Astyanax mexicanus: one gene and its partners. The protein of the gene in region 2 interacts with the protein of the main gene of each other region in a pairwise test. Links are inferred from orthologs where the notes say so. Each region holds a gene or a part of one and is shown on either strand. Other genes may lie near its edges. The genes, in order: chrd, hoxa1a, slit1a and ccn3.

Evidence for each region.
Region 1: the proteins of hoxa1a (region 2) and chrd interact in binary tests that used the Homo sapiens proteins (3 or more experiments, as listed by UniProt). The link is inferred for Astyanax mexicanus from reciprocal best matches to the Homo sapiens genes HOXA1 and CHRD.
Region 3: the proteins of hoxa1a (region 2) and slit1a interact in binary tests that used the Homo sapiens proteins (3 or more experiments, as listed by UniProt). The link is inferred for Astyanax mexicanus from reciprocal best matches to the Homo sapiens genes HOXA1 and SLIT1.
Region 4: the proteins of hoxa1a (region 2) and ccn3 interact in binary tests that used the Homo sapiens proteins (3 or more experiments, as listed by UniProt). The link is inferred for Astyanax mexicanus from reciprocal best matches to the Homo sapiens genes HOXA1 and CCN3.

The regions. Positions count from the first base shown.
Region 1 is NC_064425.1:10,794,711-10,802,198, forward strand, and holds the start of chrd (chordin), read right to left. Parts: upstream 3,015-7,488; 5' UTR 2,765-3,014; coding exon 2,629-2,764; intron 1,522-2,628; coding exon 1,418-1,521; intron 1,299-1,417; coding exon 1,172-1,298; intron 155-1,171; coding exon 14-154; intron 1-13. UniProt on the Homo sapiens protein: Dorsalizing factor. Key developmental protein that dorsalizes early vertebrate embryonic tissues by binding to ventralizing TGF-beta family bone morphogenetic proteins (BMPs) and sequestering them in latent complexes.
Region 2 is NC_064410.1:62,517,578-62,524,898, forward strand, and holds the start of hoxa1a (homeobox protein Hox-A1a), read right to left. Parts: upstream 3,005-7,321; 5' UTR 2,040-3,004; coding exon 1,385-2,039; intron 525-1,384; coding exon 172-524; 3' UTR 1-171. Other genes in the region: homeobox protein Hox-A2a, read right to left, coding at 5,948-6,693, 7,213-7,321. UniProt on the Homo sapiens protein: Sequence-specific transcription factor. Regulates multiple developmental processes including brainstem, inner and outer ear, abducens nerve and cardiovascular development and morphogenesis as well as cognition and behavior.
Region 3 is NC_064432.1:26,599,444-26,607,134, forward strand, and holds the start of slit1a (slit homolog 1a), read right to left. Parts: upstream 3,024-7,691; 5' UTR 2,224-3,023; coding exon 2,006-2,223; intron 1-2,005. UniProt on the Homo sapiens protein: Thought to act as molecular guidance cue in cellular migration, and function appears to be mediated by interaction with roundabout homolog receptors.
Region 4 is NC_064413.1:15,499,503-15,507,499, reverse strand, and holds the start of ccn3 (CCN family member 3), read right to left. Parts: upstream 3,015-7,997; 5' UTR 2,949-3,014; coding exon 2,898-2,948; intron 2,781-2,897; coding exon 2,567-2,780; intron 1-2,566. UniProt on the Homo sapiens protein: Immediate-early protein playing a role in various cellular processes including proliferation, adhesion, migration, differentiation and survival. Acts by binding to integrins or membrane receptors such as NOTCH1.

The DNA of each region.
Region 1 (7,488 bases), on a different chromosome or scaffold from region 2:
CTGTCTGTCTGACCTGTCTTGCTGTCTCCGGTGTTCATCTGCTCGGAGCTGAGGTAGGACCGGTCGTTGTAAGATTTGTGAAGGTCGTCCTCTTTCTCCTGGAAGAACTCGAAGCCGTCAAACAGAGACTCTGTGGCTTTCCTGTCTGAATCACCTGCCATCAAACACACACAACATCAATCAGACTCCACACTCAATCAGCTCATCAATACACAATACAGTCCTTTATTAGCTGCTTAAATGATGATAATAATGATGATGAACAGTACTGTCTAACACTGTGTGTGTGTGGTTAATACTATATTATTGGGTATTGGATGCTGGATATATGATATTGTAGAGCTGGGCAATATAATGATACTGTATCTTATAATGATAAAATCATGATATCAACGCTGTCCAATTAAAATCTCAAAAAAAGTCTTAACCTCCAGTGAAAGTCAATGTAAAAAAAGAGTTTATTTCAGGTAACTTTGGATCATTTCTCTGGGTGCATTCCTCAAGAAAGTGTTTTCAGATTATGCCATATCGAGGATATATTGAGGATATTAAATATAATGTTTAATTGGATGAGGTGCAGAAAAATATGTAATAGAAATCACTGCAATGAAAGAGTGCTCTTTCACCATTTCTACCCATTCGTTCATTAAAAACAGAAACGAATGCAGGTGGTCTTGTGGTCTGGGGTGAATATATAAACGAGTATGTGAGTGTGTGAAAGCACTTTCAGAAATTATAGCACTCCATCCATCTTTCATTTACTCCTTCATCCATCCATCCATCCATCCATCCATCCATCCATCCATCTATCCATCTCAAGCTACAGCCAGGGATTTTCCAACAGGCTCACGCAAACACACACACACACATACACACACTTTCCCACAGAAACATAAACACTGTGTGTGTCAGGGCCTCCCAAACACTCCACTCTCTTTCCATTCATTCAGTTTCACCAGCTGAAGGAAAACATACAATTACTCAGGTGTGTGTGTGTGTGTGTGTGTAAGGGAAAGTTTGCGAGGGTGCATGTTTGCAGGTGTGTGTATGGGTGTGTTTTAGAGTATACACTGTGTATATATATATATATATATATATATATATATATATATATATATATATATATATATATATATATATATTTCTAAGTGAGAGGGTGTGTGTTGGGTACCTTTAGGGCATGTTTTGCAGCAGTGTCCCGGCAGCAGGACGGGGTCGTCACAGCTGGGCTCGGGGCAGTCCTGCTTTATGTTCTTGCAGCTGACTTTCCCAAACACCTTCCCACGTCGGCTCCTCTGCTGCTCACACACACACACAGAGTATATTAATTCATTAGTATCAGGACTCTAACCTGCCGGAACTACTTTCTGTTTATCAGGAGATAAAATCAACAGTGAGGTGCATAAGTGGGACTTACTGGTTCGCAGTGACACATCACACAGTGCATCACACCGAAAGGATCTCCGAGATCCGGATGCCACATATCCTCCAGAGAGTAAAACCTCCCACCAAACGAGCATCCTGCACAATAAGAGAAAGAGAGAGAGAGAGAGAGAGAGAGAGAGAGAGAGTATTATATTGAGGAACAATGATCATTTCATCATTTCATACAGGCCTACTATAAATTGTGACTTTCCGCATCTGGAAGTTCAATATACAGATTTGAAAGAGTAAAGAGTTGAAGTAAAGAGTGGGATAAGTAGGTGCAGCACAGCCTCCTAGAGAAGAACCCCACTAAGATAGAAATACAAGCACAAGAAAAAGACTATGTGAAATTATCCCTGTATTGGAATTCCATGCAAAAAGATAATGTCTGTGTGTGTTTTCATTTTTTGGTTTTTATCTCTTTGTGGGAACTTAAGTGTGTATAGGCTTTTGTACAAGGGGAAAGAGGGGGTTAAAACGAACAAGGGTATGACTAAAATGTTTTCTGACTGGTTTGATTAAAATGACAAAAAGTAAGATTTGGAAGAGATTAGAGACGGCTGGAGGGGATGTGTGTGTGTGTGTGTGTGTGTGTGTGTGTTAGTGTGTGTGGTTACAGGCATCTGGAATGGTGTCAGAAAGCCCCTCAGCTACAACTAACAGACTCATAGAAAGATAGAGAGAGAGAGACGTCCAGGAGCGGGTCAGGGAGAGACTGACCTCCAGAGCTGAAACTGGAGACTTGTCAGGGCCAGTATTTGATTGAATTAGGACACACACTCAAACTCAGTGATGCTAAAACACACACATACATATAGACGGTTCTGTTTGTATTCCTATCTTTGTGAGACAATTCCAATTCTATTTGCTTAAATGCAGTTCCTTATAAAGTTAAACTTAAACCCTTACTAAAAAAACAACACTATCTTTACCCACTCACTTTTACTCCAACATAATAAAACTAACTTATTGACTGGCATCACAGTCTTTGTGTTTACATTTATACTTTTGTGGGGTATAGTAAATCCAATTAATAGATATGTAGAAATGTTGTGCTGCATCTAAGTCATTCCTTACTTAAAATGAATTTATCATTATATCACATGGTTTTGCAACATTCTGGGGACCTCAGATAGTTTCAGGTCCCCACAATGTGCTAAATACTAAACATACACACACGAACACACACAGACATTGCCGTACCGGACACTCCTTTGGAAGGCAGCGGTTCTCTCTCGGACTGGATGGGAAGCGCAGGCGCCTTGGCTCGGGAAGCGAGTGCGAGTGTGTGCGGGCTGAATAACACACACACCGCGGCAAGCAGCGGCAGGACATCCATCCTCGAGGTGGAGATAAAGAAGGAGGAGAAGAAGCGAAGGAATAGAAGCGCACTCGTCCTTTTCTTCCCTCTGTTTTTATCTTTGTGTTTTCAGTAAGTCCGTCTCTTCGTGTAGATCCAGCAGCAGCAGCAGCAGAAGTCCAGCTGATGTATCGTGAGAAGCGGCGTCTGCCTCAGTAAAGCTGGAGGAGAGTTTGTGAGAGTGCAGTGTGTAAGAGAGTGTGTATGTGTGTGTTAGTCTGAGTTGAGAGTTGTGATAACTCTGCGCGAGCGCCTGTCGGTTTTATACACGGGCGAAACGAGAGGGGAGGGGAAACGGGAGTGGGGGGAGAGGGGGGGGGGCGGTCTGGACCGGGGGGCGTGGGTTTACCTGTGGTGTGAATGTGTGTAGTTTAAGTGTGTGTTTATGTGTAAGTGTGTGTTTGATAGGTTAAGACAGGTTAAAAAATTAATAAATGTTAAAATAAATAGTAATTAAAAATTGCAATGCAAGTACCATATTAAGCCTTAAGTATTTATCACTTTGTGGGGACCTCATAGTAGAAATCTGTATAGGTTGACATTGTGGGGACCTGTGTATTTTATATATCATTATATCATCATTTAAAAAAGAGTCTAAACTGACTATACAGTTATTGGCATAAGGAAATGCCATATAAAGGTAGGAATACACAAACACATAAGCAAATGTATGTGTGTTTGTGCGTTACATATATATATATATATATATATATATATATATATATATATATATATATATATATATATATATATATATATATATATATATATATTTAGAATTGTTAGCATAACACCTTTTACACACACTCACATCTGTGCAATTTTTGTTTTAGCATCTCTAGGCTAATTGCTATGCTGTTAGCATAAGGAAATGTCCCATAAAGATAGGAATACACACTGGTGTGTGTTTGTGTGTTAGCATCACAGAGAGAGAGAGAGAGAGAGAAAGAGAGGGAGATGGAGGGGGAGGTTGAGATGAGGATTGGGTTAGCTAGGTGCAGCACCTCCTCATACAGAAGAACCCAACTAAAATAGAAATACAAATACACAGAAAAGACTGTGTGGAATTATCCCTAAATTAGAATACCATAGGAAAAGATCATGTCTGTGTGTTTTTATCTCTTTGTGGGGACTAAATAATAAAACAGTGGTAAAAGGGTGACAGGGTTACAGAATCAACCTGATTTTACACACAGATATGTGTGTATTCCTTTGTTTGTCTTTGTTCGGCTGACAGTGGCATTTGCACATTTGCATGCATTCAGTACAAGGAAATGGCCCAGAATTTCAGAAATACACACTAATGTGTGTTTGTGTGTGTGAAGTTAAGGTAAGCACATATGTGTGAATGCTGTTGTGCTACATATCTAACCCAATTCCACATATATACATACATACATATATACACAAACACACATAAGTGTGTATTCCTGTCTTTGTTTGGCTAACAGTGGTGTTGATGTGCAGTTAGCATAAGGAAATGGCCCACAAAGACAGAAATACATTCCAATATGTGTGTGTGTGTTCAGTCTAGAGTCAGGTTAGCAGTGTGTTCCATCTATCCTGCATGCTAATTTAGTTAAAGTGATGCTGACTTATGGTTAGCATATGAAACTGTCCAACAAAGACAGAAATACACACTAGCCACCTTTAGGCTTTAGTCTGTGTAGGGTAAATTTGGCTAACAGCTGTGTTGGAATGTAGTTAGCACATGGAAATACCCTCAAATACAGTAATACACACACTAGCTATGTGCTAACCAGAAAGAGAGAGCTTGGCTTTAGTGTGTGTAGGCTAATTCTGTCTCACATTGGCATTGTGTTTAGGAGTTAGCATTAGGAAATGTCCCATAAAGCTATGAATACATGCTACTGTGAGACATTTAGGAAGTATTAACACACTTATCTGTGTGTTTGTGTGTTAGCATTACTAGGCTTTGTGGTGTATTAGCTAATGGTGTCACTGACATTGCATTTGGCAGGTAACATTTACAGGAAATATCCCATAAAGATATGAATACATGCTGAATACATTTGCACACATATGTGTGTGTTTATTTGTGTATGTGTGTTAGCAGTGTTAGCATCTCTAGAGTTTAAGGTGTATTAGCTAATTATAGGATTTGAATTGTCTTTATCGGTTAGCATCTACAGGAAATGTCCCATAAAGGTATGAATACATGGTACTTTATGAAGCTAAGGCAGCGTTTAAACTTATCTGTGTGTTCACTTTTAAGCACTTTTTTAAGACCCAGACAAGTTGTTTTATCTTAGTTTATCTTATCAATGATTTTAATACTTCACTTCACTTGTCAGAACTCTAATTCGTATGCTGTTAACCAATGCATTGTTTGCTAAAGTTTTTGTAAAGTATACATTTACAATATCCATTTTTATACAAAACAAAATTAATTTTTTTATTTTATTTTTTTTTTTACTTTTTTTCTACACTGGATTTTTTTTTTACCATTTTCTGTAACAAACTGACTGGACCTGAAGATGGGGATGAATAGGGGTGTTCTAAAACTTTTGGCTGGTACTGTATATGTGTGTTTGATAGCATCATTGGGCTTTAATGTGTATAGGCTAGTTATAGCATAACTACAACAGCATCCTTGGATTTCAGGTGGCTAATGTGGAATGTGCTGTCCCACAAAGGCAGGAATACATGCGCTGGTGTGTGTGTGTGTCCTGGATGTTTATTTAGGCCTTACACTCTGTAAGACACTTCAAGTGATTTAGCAGAAACAAATAAAGATGGTTTGAATACCTCCAAAATCCAGAAGCACCTCACACTCATCCCCCCCCCCACTGGCATCCCTCCATCCACCCCTCTAACTCCCTCTTTCCCCCCCTCCTGTTTTAGGACACTTTCCCAGCAGACACTCAGTCATATTTACTGCTGTTCTCTAAACCTGGATCTTCACACCGCAGGTCTGGACCCTCCTCGCTCCTCATCAGTCAGCTCTAACTGTAAAAACACACCTCAGAGATCTTCTCAGAGACCCCCAGAGCTCTGGGACGAACCTAACGAACCCAAAGCGATACTTCGGTACAGATTGCCTTCCGTTTAAACCGATAAAATAATAATGCGGTATTCTTTCAACGCATTACCGCTAAAACCCGACTGCTATTTGATTTTTATTCCGAAAGGAACCTTAGAAGCGCCTTTTTAAAAATAAAACTAAAAAACACCTGTGACCCTGTGATGATAAAAGGGCTCATCAGAATCTTTTATCCTTTAATATTGTCTTTAAGAGTTGATTATTAACCCAGAACAAAGAACCGGTCAATGTTTTAAATAACTGCGACTTTAACATCCAAACGCAAACCGATTTAGATCAATCACATCATAATGTGAACTCATTAAAGAGCCGCAAAATGACTTTCGGACATCAATCAGAACATCAACGAACAGTTTCCCTCTCTTTCATTTCGCTCCTTTGTCTTTTGTTCTCCTTTCATTTATGAGTTATTTTAATTTCCTTCCTAATGATTATAGCGTTTTGTTAGTTGCTTTCAATGCCATTTAATTCTACTATTTAAATTTTTTGCTTTGTATATTTACTATTTATCTAATCAATTAGATAAACATAATACGTTTTGTTAAATATATCAGCTTATTTGCTTTTTTTTTACCATAACACCTTTATGTTTAAAAAATATTGTAATTAATTTGTTTTAATCATTGTGTTATTTTTTTATTATGTTTTCATTTATTTTTTTTGTATACATTTTATTTTTTTCAATAGTCATTTTAATAAATGTATTCTACTTTAAACATAATTCTACTTTAAATGAAATAAATACATATTCTGCATTTTATTTTTTGTAAAATAGCTTTTAACTATTTTTTATTTTACCATTGGTAAATATATGTCCATGATATATTTAGCTAATTCTGGTTTGTCTATTTTTAAAATTCATTTCTTCAAAACCTTAATTCGATTTCTTTTAACAATTTTAATTGGTAGTTTTAAAAAGTTTAGATTTGCTACATTTTAGCATTTTATTGATTTAAATGGCGTTTAGTTAAGTATTTAATTGCTTAGTTAAGTACTAAATAATAATTTCTAAAATAAATCTTATTATATATCTATATTTTATTATCCTTATTATCTTAATTTAATTTTATGTTATTTCAGTCAGTCTCAAATAATAATAATAATAATAATAATAATAATAATAATAATAATAATAATAATAATAATAATAATAATAAAAGTTATTATTTAACTGATGGGGGGTTATATCGTGTTGCCTGGTTTCAGTGTGGGTTTCTCTCTGCGGGTGGGGGCGGCAATTTCCCGCTCAGGAAGAGAGTGAGAGAGGGGTAAATAAGGTCGGACTAACGGGGTAATAGAACCATAAAATAAAAATAACAGCGTAATAAAGACCCGGGGAGCTCGGGCGGAGGGAGCGCCTCATTCCGGACCTCCACCCCGCTCACCATGCACATGCTAAAGAGGGCAGAATGGGGGCACAAGAGAGAGGAAACGGGCAATAGAACACTGACTGGGGTGGGGAGGGGGCAGGTGGGGTGAATTGGAAAGAGAAAAGAGAAAATAGAAAAGACGAGCTTGTTCTCTACCTGTAGGAGGTAAAACTACAAAGAGTGCGGGGAGAGTGAGTGGATGAGTGGAGTGGGGTTTTCTTCTGAGACTGAGGCTTCCCAAAACTGAAGAACGTTGAGCAAACGTTCAT
Region 2 (7,321 bases):
ACTGAATGGTCAAAAGTTAAAAAAAATAGTGCATTATCGCGGCTCATACCGGTGGGCATGTCCAGTTATGTTGACGCACTCTAACTGCTACAAAGTTTGTGGCCAGAGTCATGGTTGTCAACATCATCATCATCATCTTTTTCCCATCAATAGAAAATAATATTGAGGCCTTTAGCCTGAAGAATAGTGGTCAGCAGATGTGGAGGCAGGAGATGGAGTTGAAGGTGCAGAAAGAGACTTTTCGGACATATCCTCCGCCTTTTCTGGACCATCTCCTGGTTCAGACACAGTCTTGGGCATCAGACCCTCTTTTTCGCGTTTCTTCTGCTTCATGCGACGGTTCTGAAACCAAATCTTCACCTGAGTCTCGTTCAGCTGGAGAGCGGCAGCTATCTCCACACGCCTGGCACGGGTTAAGTACTTGTTGAAGTGGAACTCTTTCTCCAGCTCTGTTAGTTGTTTTGTGGTAAAATTGGTGCGAACGGTGTTGGGCTGCCCACCGTAACCGTACTCTCCTACTTTACCTGAGAAATAAACAGAATGAAGGTCATTAAACACACAATTTACACATTACTGGAGTATAAATGAGATTTTTAATTTACTGCATTGAGTTTTCAGTCTTTTATGAAGCAGAAGTAAGAAGTTGTTGTGTTGATTTGCAAAAGTAGTCTTTCAAAATAAGTATTTAAGATGTAGGCAAAGCCAATTAGACTGACTTATTGTGACAAATTGTATTTTAGAAAAATGTAGCAGTTTCAAAGTAAAGGTAAAAAAAAAAACTTAGATATTTGAAGACTTTAGTGCTCCTCACAGAACTTTTAGAAACATTATTACACCAATTATTTAATATTCAAGAGCAGGATATCTGACACACAGTTTTATGACAGTATAAAGATAAACATTTGATTGGAGAGGTATGTTTTTTAAAATATTTTATTTTGTTCAGGGACACATAAATCTCTGTAAGGCAAAAAAAAGAGTTATATTTGCAATAACAATTAATGGACCTAAATATCTCTTAAAAACTTCAGTGCCTCTAAAAAGCTGCTTCACAAAGTTTTTTTTTTTTTTTTTTAACAAGATGGTTAGGAATGAGGTTCTTGATTAAACTGTTTTACAGTAGTTTAAAAATAAAGTTTTTTGAGCAAAATCATTTTATATTTTTTAATTATTGAATGGCTTAAAGACACATAATGCAAACCAAAACCCCTCTATTATAATGACAATACAAATGCCTTATAATCAGCAAGACCCCTGATCAAGAACTCTACAACTTCATCTTAAGCCATCCTAAAACGAATGTTTAAAGTTAAAGTTAAACTTTTAAATGAAAAGCTTTTTTAAAAAGATGAACCCCTTTCCCCCCAGACCTGTTTTTATGTACCTGTTTTTGGGGGGTTCCTCTTAACCTTCATCCAGTCAAAGGTCTGCGCCGTGGACAAGCCGTCTGACAGAGGTGAACAGCACGTATCGTGGTGGCCATGCAGAGGAGATAGGTGGTTTGAGCATCCCCCCACGAAGGTCAGATTTGCCTGATCCTGACCATGACCGTAGGCTGCGGCTGCGTACTGAAGTTGCCCGTGATGTAGGTGCGCGTTGCTACCGCTGTAGCCATGGCGATGATGATGAGGATGATGAGGATGGTGAGGATGGTGGTGGTGGTGCTGCACAATGTTTCCAGAGTAGACCAGGGGGCCGCACTGAGCGAACCCACCAGTCGTATCAGCGTCCTGGTTCAGGGGGTAGGGATTATAACCGGCGCAAAAACTTTGGCTCCCGTAGGACGGGTGCGCACCGTAAGCGATTGACAGGGTCCCGGAGGACTGGTAGGACCCAGCCTGATTCGGATGACTGGATACGGTGTCCGGTGATGCCCTGTCGGACAAGAACCGCTCGTTTCCAGAGCAGTTGTTCACCGTGACCGAGCACGACTGGAAAGTTGTAATTCCGTGATCTGTGTGAAAAGCTCTAACGGAGCACGAGCCCCCGCCACCTCCGTCCCCGCCGCTCATCACGGAGTAATCTAGGAACGTGCTCATTCTGGCATCTTCCTGACCGGACTCTCTAGGCGGTCTGACACCACCAGACCTTCAATCAGCGCGCGTTTGGAGAGTACCGCGCGAGGCTGATATGAATGAACACTGACAGTCACGTGAGCCGGGTCAGCCAGTGACCAGTGGCTTTGTTGGGTCTTGAGCTTGAGTGGCCTCGCGCTGACAGATAGTCGTTAAAGAGTAAGCTTATGTAAATTCCGACCTCTTGTCGATCAATGACGTCAGCGCACCGATTGGGTCCTACTCGTAGGAACAATTGATGGAACAGCAGAGCGCAGGAGTGGAGGAACTAAGGTGCACGGATGCTGAGGAGCGATGGGCGTGAGAGAAACGTGTGTGAAGTATCCGACACTTGAACCATCAGGTAGGACAAGTTCGAGACCAATGGAATACGTGATTTTGCAAGGTCAGAAATCAAAAGTCTAGGACCACACAAATAGCGGTAAAACGTAAATCGTTTGACTTCTATATTTACAAACGCGTTTTTACTGGTCCCTGGATGTAAGCAAGGTTTGTTCATTCCCGGAATTAAACACACCTTCCTAACCTGACAAGTGACTAAAATCAATAGTGTTTGAGCCGGCAAGCCGTATGCAAGACCGGACCAGAGTTTAGCTTCTCTAATTAGTGCATGGCTGTATCCGTGATAAATGCTAAACATTTGATTCACTCTGTAGATCTGCAGAACATGTCTTAAATATATAACCATTGCTTGAAAAAAAAGAGTAGAGTGTGTGTGAAGAGCATTGAAAAGATTGGCAAAAAAGCTTTACTTTCAGCCAAGGCTCTTTAAACCTTTAAAACAAACAACAATAAATAATACAAATAACAAAATATTATATTAGGTAAGAACTGTAAGAATTGATCTATCACCTTTATGTGCAGGTTATTTTAACATTACAAAGATTTTTCACATAGAATTTAAGTGTTTATTTGCTGATTAGCTTCTATAAACACATTAGCTACTTTCCACATTCTGTTCTAACAATGAACACTTTTAATTTTGAAAGCGCTAAAAATGGTACTTTAAAAAAGTGATAACATTGTTTGTAATAGAAACATGAAGAATATTTTTCTAAAATATTTTTTTGCAGACATTAAAAAGTTCCTCTATGACAGACATAGAGGTGAGTCAAACTAACTGTATGACAGAATCTGTGAAAGCAACTTTTTTTCAAAGTTGCAAGGACATTTACATAAAAGATTCACAATAATTTAAATATCCTCCCTTGTATATTAACAAAATCTAAAGATTCCTCCACTCCACTGAAGGGTTCTTTAGGGAAACAAATGTGATTATTCTATGGCATAGCTCAAACAGCCTATTGTAGCAGCTTTATTTTTAATACTGCACAGCATGAAAATGATAAACTAATTATTATTTGTTTATGCCAGCCTGCAGTGTGGCATTTTCATTACCTGCCTATGATAATTTGATAAGGGTGAAAGTTAATTTAATGAACCCCAGAGTTCCAGCGTTATTAATAGGCACTGCAGTTCCCTGGTGGAGAACAATATTAATCCTAATTTGACCTTAAGTGTTTCCAAGAAATGAATGGCCTTGTCTAGTCCTTAAGTTTTCCTTGTAGTTGGATTTAAAATAATTCACACACAAATATTAAGAGTTAAATACCTGCTTAATATGTTTATTAGTTTATTGTAATGTTTCTTGGATGGCCAAAACACAAAACACAGATAAGCAGTGAAAGTGAGAAAGTGTGTAAGGAGTGAGGGTCAGCGCCCCCTCTGGCTGGAGGAGAAATAGCGCCTGTTTTGTTTTTCGTGTATTTTTTTCTTCATTCAAAATGGCGCTGAGTGTTGAGCAGGATTTCTCATCTCCTCCTCTAACTTCTCACATCCTGCCCCCTCCCACCCCCACCCAGAGGGAGAGAGAGAGGAAGAAAGAGAGGGAGAAAGAGAGAGAGATTTCTCCCACGCAGAAACGCTTGTTCTTCTTTGTGAAAAGGCTGAAGAAAGCTGGAAGTGACATGAACATGTGTATGTGTACGATCGGGGAAAAAAAACTCTTCCCATGATTTGTTAGAGAGGATTTGGTGAATGAATATTTCACACTCACACAGGGATATATGCCTGTATTCACATATATTATAAATATTGGTGTAAAAAATTAATAGGCCTTCGACGCTCCGGTGGGATTATTTATATAACTTACTGTATATGTTTAAGCGTTTATATATATCTTGGCTAAGACAAAAAAACGATATGTCTAATATGTAAAATTAAACACATAGAATAGAATTTTCTTTTCTCAGTTTCAATATTATTATTATTCATTTATTTGTATTTTTTGGTGGTAGTAGTATCAGCATAGTGGTCTCAAAAATGCACAATAATAATAATAATAATAATAATAATAAATATAATAATAATAATAATAATAATAATAATAATAATAATAATAATCATTGCCCAACTACTACGACTAATTAATAATAAAATGTTACTACTAATTGATAATAAAATTAGCCATACAATTAGCCATAATAATATAATAGTATAACAATAATTGGACACAGACATGTCCCAACAACTTGACCCATAGTTGTATAATGTACTTAAATAGCATTAATGTTTCTAATGTCATGACACAACACCGTAAAGGCCAGAAAACCCACTTCCACTTCCAGAGTTGAAATGAATGACTTGTCCATGCGCTATAAAAACGCCTCTTACGGAGGTTATGTACACTGGCCTTACGCCTGGTGTTAAAACGGCAATAAAAATGAATTATTACCGATCGTCCCTGCAGGGTTTTCTCTGCGCCCCAAAACAGTCTCAAACAATCTCAAAATAAGAGAGAGGGAGACGCGACTGGGCTTTTATTTGCGCGGACGTCACTACCATTGTCTCGTGCTGTCAGGGTGTATGAAAGACTTTGATTTATGAGTTGGCAGAGAACGAAACATCCCAGGCATTTCCCCACGCGGAGCCTGGAGCAGAGCCCCAAACAAAGAGCACAGGTCCAGAAAAAAAATCAGCCATGTTGGGGTTTTACAGCATAGAGGAAGAAAGTTTGTAAATTTGATAGATGGTGTAACTGTAAACCTCCTAGCACGCGCTACACGAGAACATGAGTACTTACTTCTTTTGGAGTGGCTGTGCTTATCGGTGCTTATCAGACAAGAGAACCAAACTAATGTGTTTATAAGCATATTTATCAAATCTATTAAAGTTAGAGTATGAGAGTAACTATTTTATTTCTCCCTTTCTTATTATATTCTTATTACATGTTTCGTGCGATTTTATTTATTTAGTTTCTTTGAGTTATATTATTTTATTTCAAGTCTGCAAACTGTTTTGTTTGTTTAGCAGTAGACCAGCAAGGCTGCAACTTTTAAATCACCAATTAATCTAACAATCTAGCCCGTTTACAGGTTTTTTTTTTTGTTCAGTTCAGTAAATAATATCTTAATGTGTTTTCTCAATTTTTCCACCACTGGCTTTATTAATATTTTGAAAGAGAAGTGCATTTTCATAATACTGTTACTACTTTAGCAATGCTATTATTTTAATGGACAAAGATGTGTAATACAATGTGGTGTATCTGTGCAGTTTGCATTTAAAAAAGCTGTATTACATTTTTTTTACCAAATTGTAACTATGACACATTTTTATAAACAAGCACATTTTTATTCTAACAAAAATATCTGTTACAAAAATAAAAACAGTCGAATCCATCTTTAGCTAAAACCTATTCATTGGTTCGTTTGTGCGTTACTGCATACAGTCTATGATACACAGCATTCTATGCACAGAGAATCTTACCTTTAACCATTTAATGTTAACCTATCAGGAAGATGTGCCCATCTGACAAATAAGCGATAACAACATATCCTTTAGATGAAGAGCACATCATTCCAGTGTCGCAGTTCTCAATAGTTCAGATGCTGCAGATCGATTGTACTTAAAGCGTCCGTGAAAAAGCAGAAGTTATCCGTGGATAGATGCTCTGGGGTGCTCAGACACTCGGACAGTGTCGGCGAAGCGGCGTCGGACAGATGTAAGCACGAATCCGCAGAGAAACCGTGGAAGTCCTTCAGAGACACGTCCAGAGTCAGCGGGGAGCTGCAGTTGTCCGGGCTGGAGGAGGGCGGTCTGTGGCCCGATAGCGTGGGTGAGGGGCTGGAGACGTGTTTGTGGGCTGGAGACGTGTCCAGGTCGTTAAGACCGAGGGGCGACATGGAGAAGTTGTGAAGCTGCTGAGAAACTGAAGATGACTCCGGTTGAAAGGAACGCAGATCTTTATCCGGGAGGGCCCTCGACTCCTGACCGAGGCTAGGCTCGAACACAGAGGTCTCTTCATCGCTCTGCGCACCACTGTCCTCCTCAGCCGCTGTGTTCCTCAGCTTTTCCTGACCGTCCTTGGTCTGGGTCTGCCGCTTGTGTTTCATACGACGGTTCTGAAACCACACCTTGACTTGACGCTCGGTCAGGTCCAGTAAAGCTGCTATCTCCACGCGGCGCGGCCGGCACAAGTACTTGTTGAAGTGAAACTCCTTCTCCAGCTCCAGAAGCTGCGTGTTTGTGTATGCAGTCCTCAGCCGGCGAGAGCCTCCTCCTCCCCCTGCTTCTCCTCCACCGCTCGCCAAACCAACCTCGGTAGGAAGCTCGGGTGAACCTGGAGCACATAGAACAGAGTGAACATATGAAAAGGAAAAACAGCAGTGTAGCCGAGAGATAAAAATCACGCAAGAATCAGGCCTATCTCTGGAGGTGGCCGTAGTGTTGTTGGCTAAGTCACCGTGGTGCACTCTGCACAATCCCCATAAAACAAGATTACGAGTATAAAACAAGGGATCTGGCAGGACTTTGCAGCTCATAAATTGCAGTGCTAAGCTATGTGGCGCGTGCTCCCCTCCACTCACAGTGGATCTAATGAATGCACGAGCAGTCCCACGCTGGACAACAGTAATCCATCATTCTTCATTGCTGTCAGATATGTATATAAATAAAAAGTCTCGACTGTAGGATGTTGGAGAGTGTCAGGACAGGAAATGTGGAATAGTATTTACTATTAGTAATTGTACGTGAAGAGATTATTGCGTTATAAGGATCTAAGCAGAGCACGGAAATTTTATTACGCATACCCCTTCATGACCCCCATAATTTCTCATATCGTTCACCCACTCCCACTCACCTTTCGGAGAGAAGCAGATGACGGGGCCAGCAGCCGTGGGCGCAGCGGTGGTCGTTTGAGGAGGATGGTTGTGTTTCTTGGAGGCCTTCTTCTCGCGCATCCACGGATA
Region 3 (7,691 bases), on a different chromosome or scaffold from region 2:
CAAGCATCTGCTTTATCTGCTTTATTTGCTTTAGCCTCTGGTAGCATGCACTTGCACATCTTCCCCTACAGAGCCTGCCGGGAGTCATTCATTCTTCATTCATTGTTGTGAAAATTTTACTCTTAAAAAAAAAAGGCATATCAACCACCCTAATCCACTGTGCAAGATCTGGCTGATTATATTAATATATAGTGCTTTTCAAAAGCACTGCAAGTATGTAGTTGTGCAAGCAACCTGCGAGAAGATCATCATGCAAAAGCATGCATCTACTAAAAGCATCCTTTTAGGTCACTTTTTTAACCATAGTTGATTAGTTAAGCTCTTTTATACATGTTGTCTCTAACACTAAATAATAAAAGTTTAATGTGTGCAGGATCTAAGTTTCTAGGCCTAAGAAAAGAGAACCTGCAAGAAGATCATCATGCAAAAGCATGCACTTAATAAGAGCATCCTTTTATGCCATTTTTTAAACCTTATTTAATTAGTTAAGCTATTTAATATGTGCATGTTTCTAACCTTAAATAAATTTTAAAGTGTGCACCATCTAGAACCTAGGGTTTAGAAGGAGAACCTGCAAGAAGATCATCATGCAAAAACATGCATCTACTAAGAGCATCCTTTTATGACATTTTTATGACATTAGTTGATTAGTTAAGCTATTTAATATGTGCAGTTTTCTAACCCTAAATAACAAACATCTAAGGTTCTAGACTTAAAAAAGGAGAACCTGCGAGAAGATCAAGATCAAGCAAAAGCATGCACCTTATAAGAGCATCCTTTTTAATGCCATTTTTTAACCTTATTCGATTAGTTAAGCTCTTTAATATGTGCATGTTTCTAACCCTAAAGTGTAAAAGATCTAGGATTCCAGGCTTTAGAATGAGAAGCTGCAAGAAGATAATCATGCAAAAGCATGCACCTACTAAAAGCATCCTTTAAGGTCATTTTTTTTAACCTTAGTTGATTAGTTGCAATCTTTCATAAGTGCAGTTTTCTAAACCTAAATAATACAAAGTTTAATGTGTGCAACATCTAAATTTCCAGGCTTTAGAAGGAGAAACTGCAAGATGATCATTGTGCAAAACATGCACCTAATGTATCCAGCAACTTTTGACCATTTTGGTCACTTTTTCAGCCACCAACTATAGTTGATTAGTTAAGCTCTTTAATATGTGCAGTTTTTTAACCCTACATAAAAAGATGAGTGCAAGATCAGGAGTTTTAGGGCTTAGGAGCAGGAGAACCTGAAAAACGTGCACCTAAAACTAAATGCATCCAGCACCTTTTGACCTTTTCGGTCACTTTTTCAACCATCAACCATAGCTGATTAGTTGAGAGCTTTCATATGTACATACATTTTAATGTTGCACGATCTAGAACCTAGGTTTTAGAAGCAGGACAACCCAAATAAACGTGCACCTTTAACTAAATGCATCCAGCACCTTTGGACGTTTTTAGTCACTTTTTCAAGAGTTGTGTGGTTTAGAAGAAGGAGAACCTAAAAAACATGCACCGAAATCCTTTTTCAACCATCAACATTAGTTAATAAGTTAAGATCTTTAATATGTGCACTAAATATATTTTAAAGTGTGCATGATCTAGAACCTAGGGTTTAGAAGGAGAACCTGCAAGAAGGTCACATGCACCTATAAGTATCCAGCACCTTTTGACCACTTTGGTCACTTTTTCAACCATCAACCTTAACTCTAAATAAATATTAAAGTGTGCACCATCTATAGGGTTACAGGTTTTAGAAGCAGGAGAACCCGAATAAACGTGCACCTAAAACTAAATGCATCCAGCACCTTTAGACCTTTTGGGTCAGGTTTGACTTTTTTGCAGTTTTTGCAGTTGCAAACCTGCTATTTCAGGTGCTACGTTTCTAAGTACACAAGTACAGGAAAGTGTGTGTCCTGAAGAAAAGTGAGCAAAAAGAAGGGTGTCCAGCCGTGACCCTTAACTGGTTTTAAACTCTAGAAACGCGAGGAACGAAAGGTTTACTCACAGCCTCTCCGTGTTCCTGGGTATATTCCTGGGAACGGTCTTGAGCCCCAGTCCGTGGCAGTCCACCGTGGTGCCGCTGCAGGTGCACAGCGCAGGACATGCGCTGGAACCACCGAAGACGACGGCGCTGAGAAGCATCATCAGCAGTAGCGGTGGTGGTGCCCACTTCCAGCCTCCGGAGTAGCTTCCCCTGATCCCTGTGATCCCGGTGATCCCCATGATCCTCACGAGTGGTGACGGCGCCCCTCGCCTTTCTCTTTCTTTCTTCCTTTCTTTATCCGGTGCGTCTTCTTTCTTCTGCCTTTTTCTTCTTTATCTTTTCTCCTTTCCTTGCTCCTCCCAAACCTCGGACAAAGCCGGCAGACACTCTTTACAAGTAGTGCTTCTTTTTCTTCTTCTGCTTCCCCAGTTGTCTCCTTCTTGTCTTCTTCTGCTTCTACTATGTCCAGCAGAAGTCTTCCCAGGTCCAGTCGCTGCACAGCCTGGACAGATGATGGACAGATCTTGAAAGGTATGGGACGGGAATAAGTGTGGTTGGTGTCCTTTTAGGAAGGGGGACGAGGGAATGGACACTTAGTTTGAATGGTCTTTTTCCAGGCTAGTCCTAGTCTTTTCCTCCTGTTCTTCTCCTCAGGGTTAGTGGACAGGAGTGTGTCCTCTACAGCAGTCGCTCTGGACTTCCTAAAGAAAACTCTCTCTCCTTCTGTCTCTCTCTCTCTCTCTCTCTCTCTCTCTCTCTGTCTCTCTTTCGTCCCTTTCTCTTTCTCAGTGTCTCTCGCCCAGCCACACTCTCTCTGCCTTCCCTCTCTTTGTAGAGTCTCCGAGTTTGCGCCTCTCGCTCTCTTTTTCTCTCTCTTTCTCTTGGCGTCTGGTTCCCTCCCTCTTCGCTCCTCTACTGACTGCCTACCGGGAGGAACAGGGGGAATGGCAAAGAGAGAGAGAGAAAAAAAAAAGAAAAAACACACCACACACACTCTCTCTTTTACACACACACACATATACACACACAGCAGTCATCCATCACAAGGATCTACAAATAGCAGCCCCCAGGCTCCTCCCACCTCCCTTCACCTCCCCTCCCTTACACCCACTACCCCTCCCCCTTCCCCAAACGTACCTCCCAACACACACACCCCTTACACACACACACACACATACACACCCCCCTCAGAACCCTGCCTGAACCCACCATACCACCACCACCACCTCCTACCCCCCACCGTCGCCCTCCACCAACCACCCCCCCACCCCTCCACCCTCCACTACAGTCCTTCAGGCGTCCGATCAACTCAGAGACCAACTCTCAGACCGGACCAGCCGGACCCGCTAAACCCCCTCCAACACCACCACATACACCACCTTCCCCTCCACCTACTACAATACTGGGTACAATACACGATACATGTGTTAATAAAAAGAGAAACACTGTATCCCTTTATTTGCACGGTCCGTTGCAAATGCTTTCTTGATGCTCAACTAAACGTCTATTAAATGCATCTGTCAAAATTCAAGTCTAAGCTGAAAGTAAATGATTCTCTATTGAATGCACACATTTTAGGGTTATGTTTAAAGATAAAAACAAGGTTTGGGTTAGATTTAGGGTTTAGGATAAGATTAGGGTTAGTGTTAGGTTTAGGGTTACAGAATTAGGTTTAGTTTCAGGGTTAGATTTAAAGTTTAGGGTAAGGCTAGAGTTAGTGTTAGATTTAGGTTTTAGGGTTAGATTTAAGGTTTAAGATAAGGTTAGGTTTAGACTTGGGTTTAGGGTTAGTTTCAGGGTTAGATTTAAGGTTTAGGATAAGGTTAGGATATGGTTTAGGTTAGGTTTAGATTTCAGGATAAGGATAAATTTAGTTAGAGCTAGGTTTAGGGTTAGTTTGAGGTTAGATTTCAAGTTTAGGATAAGGTTTAGGTTGGGTTAAGGGTTAGGGTTAGATTTCAAGTTTAGGATAAGGTATGAGTTAGGGATAGATTGAAGGTTTTAGGATAAGGTTTGAGTTAGGGATAGATTGAAGGTTTAGGATAAGAATAGGGTTAGAGTTCTATTAAAAAGTTAGGATAATTTTAGGGTTAGATTTAAGCTTTAGGTTAAGGTTTGCATTATGGTTACGTTTTAAGGGTAATTTGAGGTTAAAATGAAAGGTTTATGGTTACCATTATGGTTAGATTAAAGGTTTTGGATAAGGTTATGGTTAGGGTTAGATTTAAGGTTTAGGAAAAGGTTAGGGCATTTTAGTACCATAGTTACATGCTGTTGTCTTTTTTAAGAGAATGGAACTCATGCTGTAGAGGGTTAATCTCAGGACTACACTAACCCTGAGTCACCGTGTCTTTAGCCTTTAACCCCTGAAGGCCTGAAGGACGGCTCATGCTTCACATTCCTCCACCTCAGATGACTTAAACGACACAGGCGACGTGTTCGGTTTCATCGCGGCCGGAAGAATAATAAATAAGAGACATTCGAGATTTAGCCAAATTTGTGATTAATGATTTCCTGAAGATATTTTCCTGAAATGTAATCCAATCGCATTAGTGTGACGTCACAGATTTACCGTTTACACCCTCTGTGTTTATATATCAAACCCCCCCCCCCACCACCAATTCCACCCCAACACCCGGAGAGGGCCAGGCGCGATCATCTGATGAAGATGGGGGGAGGAATGTTGCGGGGGGGTTTGGTTATATAAAGCAAACACTGAGCTTTTGTAGAAGCTGGGAGGTGGAGGAGGTGGAGGAGGTGAAGGTGGAGTTGTGGTAGCAAAGGTATGAAGAATGTGTGGAATTACAACCATTTTTCTACAAAGCCGCCTCATTTCAGGGGCTCAGAAATAATTAGACAAAGAAACTCAAAAGCCATTTCATATCAGAAATATGTGGATTTGCCCCCCCCCCCCCCAAAAAAAAATACAGCAGAAAAAGCAGGAGCTGTTTAAAAAAAACTTTTATTTTGAAAGCACGCCTAATTCTGCACCCCGGCCATGAAAAGCACCTCCTCTCGAGAGCACATTTCCAATTAAAGTTTTTTTTTTTTTTTTTAATCAGGAAGACGTAGGTGCACACTCCCGAGAAGGGGTGCTTTTTCTAATCTACATATTTTAGGGTTGGGTTTAGGATAAGGTTTGAGTTGGGGTTAGATTTTTAATTTAGGATAAGAATATGGTTAGATTTAAGGTGTAGAATAAGGTTAAGTTTAGATTTTAGGTTTAGGATAAGGTCAGAGTTGGATTTAAGGTTTAGAATAAGGTTAGGGCATTGTAGTACAATTATGCAAATAATTTATGGACCCAATGGGGAAGATGAATGGCTTTATATGGTGGTAAAATCTACCATGTATCTAAACGATACAGCAACTAGAATATACACTTTAGTTAGCAATTTGAATAATTAACGTAAAGGAGTTAAAGAATTTGGAGTGAAAGTTCAATGTGTGCACTTTTTCATGAAATGCCACCATAAAATGTTGAAAATAAGAAATAGAAATAAGACCTAACAGGTTTACGATAGAGAAGGTGTGGTGGTGTTGGTAATAGATGTCTCCTAAAAATGTTTAAAATTAGGTATTAAAGATATTTTAAATGGTAAATATTAAATAAACGTACGTGCTCTTTAATCGAGTGACTATACGCTATACGAGTCTGGTGGCTACAGAGCAGGTATGGAGAATGTGTGAAAAATGTGTGGTAAAAACTTATAGACAAAAAGAGAAAAGGAGAAAAAGAGAAATAGAGAAAAAGAGAGAAAACAGAGCCTCGGAAAGCCTCAGAAGTATCATATCAGTTGTCTGGCAGCGAGAACACAGTGGTGACCTGAGACGCTGGAAGTAAATGAGCCAGCAGTTGAAAGATTGCAGTTTTATGGCTCTAATGGAAGCATTTATTTTGTGTTTTAAAGCGTAATGGTGCTCTAATACTTCAGTAACAGCTTTTTCTGCAGTTTAATAGTGTCGCCTCAGAGACGATCCAGAGGAAAAAAATACACCAGATATAACGCACTGTTCAAATAATCAAACACGAAGCCGCCGGCGCGGCTCTACCAAAGAGAAAACAGCTATAAAATCCTAAACGAACGGCCCGAACGCGCCTGACCCCAGTCCACAACACGGAAACGACCGATCCGTCCGTGTCGAAACAAAAAGATGTAAAATTAACAAAAGACAAAAAGAAAAACACACATTAATCAGAGGAACTGAGCAGCTAGATCCTTTCAGATCCCACTGTAAACATTACCGAGCAGAAAGAACCTTACTGGTTGTACGGTGTTGCTATGGTGTTTTAGGTGGTAGCAATGGTTCTGGTAAGCTGTTGATAGTAACACTTTAGCAACCATCTAAGTGGCTGCTAAGCAGTCGCCAGGTGGTCGTTATTGTAAGTTGTTGCTAGGTGGTAGCTACAGTGTTGCTACGTGGTTGAAGGTGTTGCTATGTGGACTCCCAGGGGATTGCTATGTGGCTGCTAAGCAGTTGCCAGGTGTTTGTTATGGTTTTGTTAACTTGTTGCTACGTGGTTGTATGGTATTGCTACGTGGACTACAAGCAGATTGGTATGTGGCCGCGAAGCAGTTTCCAGGTGTTTGTTGTGTTTTCGGTACGTTGTAGCTCAGTGGTAGCTATGGTGATGCTTTGTGGCCTACTTTGTGATTGTTATGTAATTGCTTGTAAGTTGTTGCTATGTGGTTGCTATGGTGTTATGTGGTTTTATGATGTTGCTATGGTAGCTCATGAGATTGTCATGATGTTAAGTAGCTTCTAGGTGCAACTGTTAGGAGGTTGCTGTGGTATCTCAGGTGATTGCTTTCATTTTGGTAGGTTGTTGCAAGGCAGTTGCCATGGTGTTGGTGTGGTATTCTATGTAGTTCTTATGGTTTCAGTAAACTGTACCTTGGTTGTTGCCATTGTGTTACTAAGTGGCTGCTAAGCAGTTGCTAGGTAGTTGCTATGGTATTCCAGATGGTTGTTATGGTTTCAATAAGTTGTTGCTATGTGATTGTATGGCTTTGCAGTGGACTCCCAGGGGATTGCTATGTTGTGGATAAGTAGTTGCAAGCTGGTTGCAATAGTGTTACTAAGTGGCTGCTAAGCAGTTGCTAGGTGGTTGTTATGGTGTACCAGGTGATGGTTAAGATTGTCGCGAGGTTGTAGCTATGTATTCCACGTATCCCACAGGTCAGTAAATAAGATAAAGCATGAAAGATAGTGAAGGAATGATAAAATAATTTACTAATTCAGTGTAGAATCACTAACCACACAATTACACAATTACAGCCACATACTTCACATTTCTACTGTAACCAGGTTCTTAACACGACCATTAATCACCAGATAAACCTCCAAACCGCTCAGTTTAAGTCCTGAAATTAGACAGTAAAGTCCAGTCCGTATCAGAAGGTCATCTGAGACCAGCTTGAGGCCCCCCAGGGCCAAAAATCCAAAACCCCACTGCAGTGCTGCAGTTTCCCTCCGCTAAACGCATTCCTACAGAGCCAATCATCTGGCAGCGCAGTAAAGCATGCGACTGCGGCTAACACATCGTACCCTCCCGACCACGGTTACGCTATATATACACCATCACCACAGCTATTCCCAGCGCACCAGTGTAAAACACCAGCGTTACAGAGCTCATATCATCAAAAATCCATTCAGACGTGAAAATAACTGTGTAATGTAGCGCGCAAACATGCTGCATTCATTT
Region 4 (7,997 bases), on a different chromosome or scaffold from region 2:
CGAACACGCACAGCCCATTTGTAAATCACGTGACTTTTGGCACAGTTTTAGCAGAGTCGCAAACTCGTGTTGAGATTTTCTCACAAATACACCCAACCCTCGTACAAATGCATCGCCCCAGAACAGCAGGTGGCGCTGTGGGACACTTTACGAGAGGTGGCTGCACAGCAAAGCAAGCTCTCCTATCCAGCGCTCCCCAGAGCATTAATTTACACTTATTAAGGTGTTTAATACACCTTTAATAATCACAACTCTACCATTTTATACCCGATTTACACACGGTTTGGTTTGTTACAAACAGCAGAGATGTAATTATGATATAGGACGCTGTTACACATCACAAATATGAGCTTTCATGCTGAAATACTTTGTATTATGCTCTTTAAAAAAGAAAGAAAAAAATATTAATTGGTGTTTAAATTATATAGATAGATAGATAGATAGATAGATAGATAGATAGATAGATAGATAGATAGATAGATAGATAGATAGAGCATAATACAAAGTATTTCAGCATATTGTCAGTAAATTTGCAGCATTTATTTGCAGAAAATGAGAAATGGCTGAAATAACAAAAAAGATGCAAAGCTATTGGACCTCAAATAATGCAAAGAATTGTAGATTAGTTTCCAGAGGTTTTCAATTTGGTAAAATCAATGTTTTTTTTTTTTTTTTTTTTTACCATTTTTAGGTGGTCTTTCCTTTTGTCCAGATCTATCTATCTATCTATCTATCTATCTATCTATATTACAATTTAAACACCAATTAATATTTTTTTCTTTCTTTTTTAAAGAGCATAATACAAAGTATTTCAGCATGAAAGCTCATATTTGTGATGTGTAACAGCGTCCTATATCATAATTACATCTCTGCTGTTTGTAACAAACCAAACCGTGTGTAAATCGGGTAATGGTAGAGTTGTGATTATTAAAGGTGTATTAAACACCTTAATAAGTGTAAATTAATGCTCTGGGGAGCGCTGGATAGGAGAGCTTGCTTTGCTGTGCAGCCACCTCTCGTAAAGTGTCCCACAGCGCCACCTGCTGTTCTGGGGCGATGCATTTGTACGAGGGTTGGGTGTATTTGTGAGAAAATCTCAACACGAGTTTGCGACTCTGCTAAAACTGTGCCAAAAGTCACGTGATTTACAAATGGGCTGTGCGTGTTCGTGAGTCATGACACGGTAATGTTTGAAAATAATGTTTTACTTGTTTTATTTATTACTTTTTGCATTTGTAAAACGTGTTATATTTGTTTGTAAAGAGCAATGTATTAGAAAACAGCTGTGTATTTATTTGAAGTTTACATATATATTTACAACCATCAGGTTTTGTGTTTGTAAAACACACCGTGTGTGTTAGAGAGTCGAGTTTTGTATTTGTAAAACGCGTTGTGTTTGTTTGCAAGTAGTATCATATTTACAGAATACGTTTTCTTTATTTGCGTAGTTTTGGCACTAATTTAGCTCCATAGGTCTCCTTCTTGGGAACACATTATCATGTGGGATGAGTGTTTCAGCACACCCATAATCTAGCATGTAGCCTATTTTATTGTTTCCCAACCCTGTATGTTAGTTTTGTTTTTATTGTTGTTGTTTAACACACACACTTTAATTTAGTAATGTTCTGATTATTGGGATTAGATGTGTTGGGAAAAGGGAAAACACTAAGAATGCAGGGCAGTGAGGGTCCTATGATTGTCATGATGTGGAAAACACAGACGGAATCACAGAATTAAGAAATCAAAGTGGAATTCAGATACAGATACACATACCAAACACAGCACTCTAGGCTGATGCTGGTATTATTACTATAATCTAACCAGCACAGTGCCATTCATCTGTTATCAAACATCAGTCATTAATTTAGCTCGGAAAACAGTTAGCATCGCCAGTTAGCGGTAAGCATCGTCAGCTAGTAATTAGCATTGTCAGCAAGCGGTTGGCATTGCTATTAGCATCGCCATTAATCCATTAGCATTGCCAGCTAGAAGTTAGCATCAACAGTTATCCATTAGCATTGCCAATTAAAAATTAGCAGCACAAATTTTCTATTAACTTTACCAGTTAGCCATTAGCTAATCAGTTAGTTTGCCATTTTAGACTTCAAATTAAAAGCCCCAGGGCAGAAAATATAAGAGAACAGATTTATACTAAAATCAATTTATGTATTGGCTAAAATAATAAAGTACATCCATGTTCATTTTATTTAGACTGTTCTAAGTAAACGTTTGTCAAAATATTGTCAAAAATCTAAACTCTGTTCAGATCTGCATCACATTTTTGAGCATTTTGTTTAAGAGTTGTATCATTTTTATTTTAGAGCAACATATTTCAGCTATTAATGTAAAATGTCTTATTATACAGTTAAATTATACAGTTTAAAAATGTTCAGTTGTAAATGTGATTACTTTAGATTAATTAATCACAGCACCTGTAATTAATTAGATTTTTGTATTACCTGACAACACTATTAAAAGCTAAAACCCGAAAATGTGACGATAAAACCGAAACCGATGATGGGAAGTTTCACCTCATAATAAGTTTCAATCATATTTCATAACGCACCTACACACACCCCGCTCCTGCGGTCGCAGCGGAGCCCTCTCCGGGCATCACAGGGCGCGCGCTGTGAGCAGGTCTCTCCGCGCTGTCTCGCGCACACTCTGCAGCACGCGCACTCCGCCGGGACGGGATGCACGCCGGGCGCGCACACGGCGGGGTCCTCCGGGCAGCGGCAGCCCGCGGGGCAGCGCGGACGCGCCACGGAGCACAGCGCCACCTGGAGGAGACGAAGCAAACCAAAGACATGCGGTCAGTCAGTCGGCAGCGCTGTCTGCGTGCACGCGCTCCCGGTTACCTGCAGCCTCAGCCCCATTAATAACACTGATTTACCCACCTGAGAGCAGAAGAGCAGAGCCAGGCTCCTCTGAAACGCGCTGCTCAGCATGCTCGGGCCGCGGGAGCTGCAGATAACTTCTTCAGGGTCTCTCTGAGGAAACTTTACTCTGCAGTCCGGCCAGGTGTGGGAATTTATACACTGCTGCAAAAACGGGCGGGAAAAACAACCGCGCTGCTTTTCCCACCTGTATTCAGACTGGGCCCGCCTTCTGCGCAGGGATTAGCCAATCGCAGTGCACATGCCTCTCAGCCTACGCTCTACGATTGGGTAATAACTTTCCTGAGATTTGACAATGGTGCATATCAGGGAGGGGCGGGAGAGACCGCAGAAATTGAGGCTAATAATGAGGCGGATACTGTTTATAATACTGAGGATAATAATTTTGCGAATATTAATATTAACTTATTGAGACCCTGTGTCCCCATATGGGTACATTACATTTCTGCTTTTCTGCACCGGAATACTTCATTTTTTTTAAAACTTTGACCATTTGAGTCACTTTCATATGTGGTCCTAAATCGGATACGTATCCAATCCATGGACATGTGGCAATATTGTGAACCGTCAAATCGGAATGCATGCGTCTTATCATGTTCCAACACATCTCTTTGTGCAGCTGTTTGCTCTCCACTCGAGCTGCTAACTCATCCATTTCCCTTTATAAAGCTACAGGTCATCTCTCAAATATGACGTTTTTTGTTGTTGGTTAAGAAGGTTACACGTATCAATGTGCGCAAGTGAGGCATTTCAGGGACATTTGTTCACATTACACACAGATACAGCTTTGAGCAATGTGGCTTTTAATGTGAACATAGCCATGGAAACATTGCCTGTACCATCTAATGGTCACATGACAACATTACTTGTTGTAGGCTGTAAAATACTGTTTACTCTATATCATTATCTTTTTCCATTTAGTTTTCTATCAGTATTTGAAATCTATATTTTACATAAATTAAATAAAAAAGAAGAGTAAATACAAATCTGTTTTATTCACCTGACCAACAATAATACTGAGAACAATATCGAGGCCAATACCGTTGATAAAATTTAGAGCAATAGTGAGGATAATAATACGATTAATTCTGAGGCAAATATTGAGGATAATACTGAATTTTTATTGAGACTCAGGCTAATACTGAGGCTGATATTGAGTGCAGTAGGTTAAATATAATGTAGATACTAATAATTTAATAAAAGGAAATAAAGAGGATTAACACAATGTACAAAAATACATTTTAAATATTATTATTTGTAGTATTTGGCATTTCATTAGAATGGACCAACACAGATATCATACCCATGTGGGGCCTGTATGGGTTGCCAAACTTAAAACCTCCACATATGAATGTCAGTATCAATAATGAAATGAGGCTTCCCAGGTGAGCATTGTTAATAACAATATGCATTATGCAGTATTTTGCATATTCAAAAACTACGGAAACCAGAGATTTTACCATTTTGGAACTCTTTCGCCGTATTAGCTGATATTTCCTACGTAAAACTTGGAAATTCCAATATCTGGATTCAAATGGAATGTGTAATTAGACCTTAATTAGGTTTGTCAATAGCTATAATTAGGGAAGGTCAGCTGAATTAAATTTCCAACTTTAAATCTATGACTCTTTAAACATTGTACTAACACTCAGCAACCATTCACTTTTTTGAGCAACTGCCTAATCACCTATTATCAAAAGTAATACACTGCCTGGACAAAAAAAAGTCTCCACCTGGATTTAACTAAGTAAATGTTGTGGGGTTGATGCTGCAGTTGGTCAGGTCTAGATTCAGCAACAGTATGTGCTGAAAGAATGAGGTCAGCTGACTACCTGACTATACTGAATATAGACCAGGTTATTCCATCAATGGATTTTTTCTTCCCTGATGGCACGGGAATATTCCAAGATGACAATGTCAGGATTCATGGGGCTGGAATTGTGAAAGAGTGATTCAGGGAGCACGAGATCATCATTTTCACACCAGACCTTAACTTCATTGAGATTTTTTTGAGATCTTTGGGATGTGCTGGAGAAGACTTTGTGCAGTGGTCAGACTCTACCATCATCAATGCTGCAGGATCTTGGTGAAAAATTAATGCAACACTGGATTGAAATAAATCCTGTGAGATTGTGGCAGCTTTTTGAAACAATGCCACAGTGAATGTGTGTCGCAATCAAAGCTAAAGATGATTCAACAAAATACTAGAATGTTAGCTTTTTTTGGATGGCAACTTTTTTTTGGCCAGGCAGTGTAAATCTATCAGTTTCTACAGTGTGGAATTAAAAGAAACATTTGGCTTTTCATTTACATTGTACAAAAGAGATCAGATCACATGTTAGAGTAGGGCCTTTATAGGTAGCCCAACTAGGAACCAGAAGGTTTTCTCCATGGGTTTCATGATTATCACACATATGTACGGTGGCCGAGAAAGCCCAACGCAGTGCAAATTGAAAAGCGCTGCAAAAGCACAAAACACATCCATCAAAATTACAACACAGGCGCAGCAAATAGAAAAACGCGCTGCAAATAGAAAAACGCGCTGCAAATAGAACCACAACACAACGGAAGTGAGTCACAACACAACGGAATTTTCCCGGGGGACCTTAAAAGATACTGTACCAGCTAAGCTGCGTCTTCAGTAACGTCTCGGACTTCACTATGTGTACAAAGGACAATAAGTGGCAAACAAGGCGTTTTGTGAAGCAGAACTTTTAATAATATGCACACAACCGTGGTAATCACAGGTAATAAACATAACTTACTTTTCAGAAGCTTGTTTGCCACTTATTGTCCTTTGTATACAGCTGGTACAGCATCTTTTAAGGTCCCCCGGGAAAATTCCGTTGTGTTGTGACTCACTTCCGTTGTGTTGTGGTTGTATTTGCAGCGCGTTTTTCTATTTGCTGCGCCTGTGTTGTAATTTTGATGGATGTGTTTTGTGCTTTTGCAGCGCTTTTCAATTTGCACTGCGTTGGGCTTTCTCGGCCACCGTACATATGGCTACACTGGTAGAAGTTGGACAGTACTGTGTGTACAACTAATTTAAGACAAATATATATATGCACTGCTTGTGTAAACACAATCTTCATAAAGGAGTTCTAAGAAGGAAACCTTAACTGTGACATTTTCACATTTTTTTCACAATGTTAAATGTATGGTACAGAAAAACTAGACAGATGAGTTTTACAAACTAGTGCTGTTAGGTTTGTTCTATTTTCTTAATCTTGTACTTAATATTGGGAAGGATCTGTAAGTCTGTTTAAATTTAAATTATTATTTATTGATTAAAGATTGTTACTGCTGTTTAGAATAACCAGGTGAAACTGCTTTATAAAGCAAGCATATAACATCTTGTTTCAGAAAGAGACATTATGTTAACATATTTCTATGATCTTTGTACCTCTGACCTTTTGGGAAGACAGATTGTATTTTTTTTCCCGTGATTTGTGTAAAGTCACATTCTTTGGTTATAAATCTCACCTCCCCAGCCGCTCCATGGAGAATGCTATTTGTATATTGACACTGGACATATATAAATCACTTTTTGCCGGTAGTGGACCTTTTAGCAGCATCACAATGGGAGGGCAACATTTCTCACATTTTCCAAAATGCTGAAAGCCTGTAACTGCATCTGTTCAACAGAGGGTCCAAGCTGGATTCTGGAGCAGTTCTGACTGTATTAACAGTGGTGAGCACTAGCTTTTTGACTGTTTGACTCAGATAGTTGACAGTGCGTACACTAATTAACCACAGCATGATAACCACCTGCCTAATATTATGTAGGTCGCCCGCATGCTTCCAAAAGTAGCATTGACCCATAAATACATGGACTTCAAAAGAGCTCTTAAGGTGTCTGGTATCTGGCACCAATATGTTAAGCTGTGAGGTGAGGTCTCCGTGGATTGCATCATGGGTGCCCATGATCCTGTCGCCAGTTTACTGGTTCTTCTAGCTTTGAGCTCTTCTGTAGGTACTGGCCACAAGACCAGTCTGGTGTTTTAGAGATGCTCTGCCTCCCCAGTCATCTAGCCATCACAGTGTAACCTTTGTAAAAGTGTCTCATATTATTATTAAGCTTGTCCATCTTTCCTGTTTCTACCACATCAATTTAAAGACTGACTTTTGGCTTGACATGTTCCTTTGTAATCAGATAATTCATGTTATTCACTGCAAATCCAAAGTTAGGGGTGGGCAATATGGCCCTAAAATAATATCACAATATTTCATGGTATTTTTTTGCGATACCGATACTCTTGGCAATATGACAAAACACTGAGTAAAAAAAATATTTAAAGAATACATTACTGCAACAAAATAAAAATTTTATTTTATTTTTGCATACGCTATAGCACACCCCTAACTGAGATATAAAAAAAAAATACAAGATTTTTTTTTCAGATTTGTAACAGAAGTCAATGATCCAGAATGTCATGATACTAATAATGGCTCCATATTTCTCCATATATCCAGGATTAAAGTAAAATAAATGATGCTGGACAGATATATAATCTGTCTCTAGTAGATATATAATGGTAATTGAGAACAGTGTGAATTTTTCCTTTTGCTAAAAACAGCAAAAAATGTAGCATCATGATGTGATAATTAGGGGTGGGTGATATGGCACGATATTTCAGGGTATAATATCGTTCATGATATTTAAAAATGTTGGCGATATTATTTTGTACGATACAATATGGCACACCCCTACCCAAGGTTATAATTGCTATGGATGATTGATGTATGTTTTGCATAGCACAGTTGCAACGGCAGCCTAATTATTAATGATTGACCACATTTGTGCACAGTAAAATTACTGAAGACAAGACAAGTGGTTTACAATACAATTTTTTCCATTTGCTTAATCAGTCATAATTCAGTTTATTCAACAATTAATTATTTACTGAGAAGTGCAAGGCACACAATGTCACATCCTTGCCCTGTTTCCTGTCTGTTCTCATGTCTCTGTGTGTTATCCCCATGTGACCCGTGCTCCTCTGTGTCTCTTCCCCAGTACTTTTCCACCTGTGTTCATTTGTAGCTCCGCCCCCTAGCCCTAGGTGTTTCCACTTGTGTGATATATAGTCCTCCTGTGTCAGT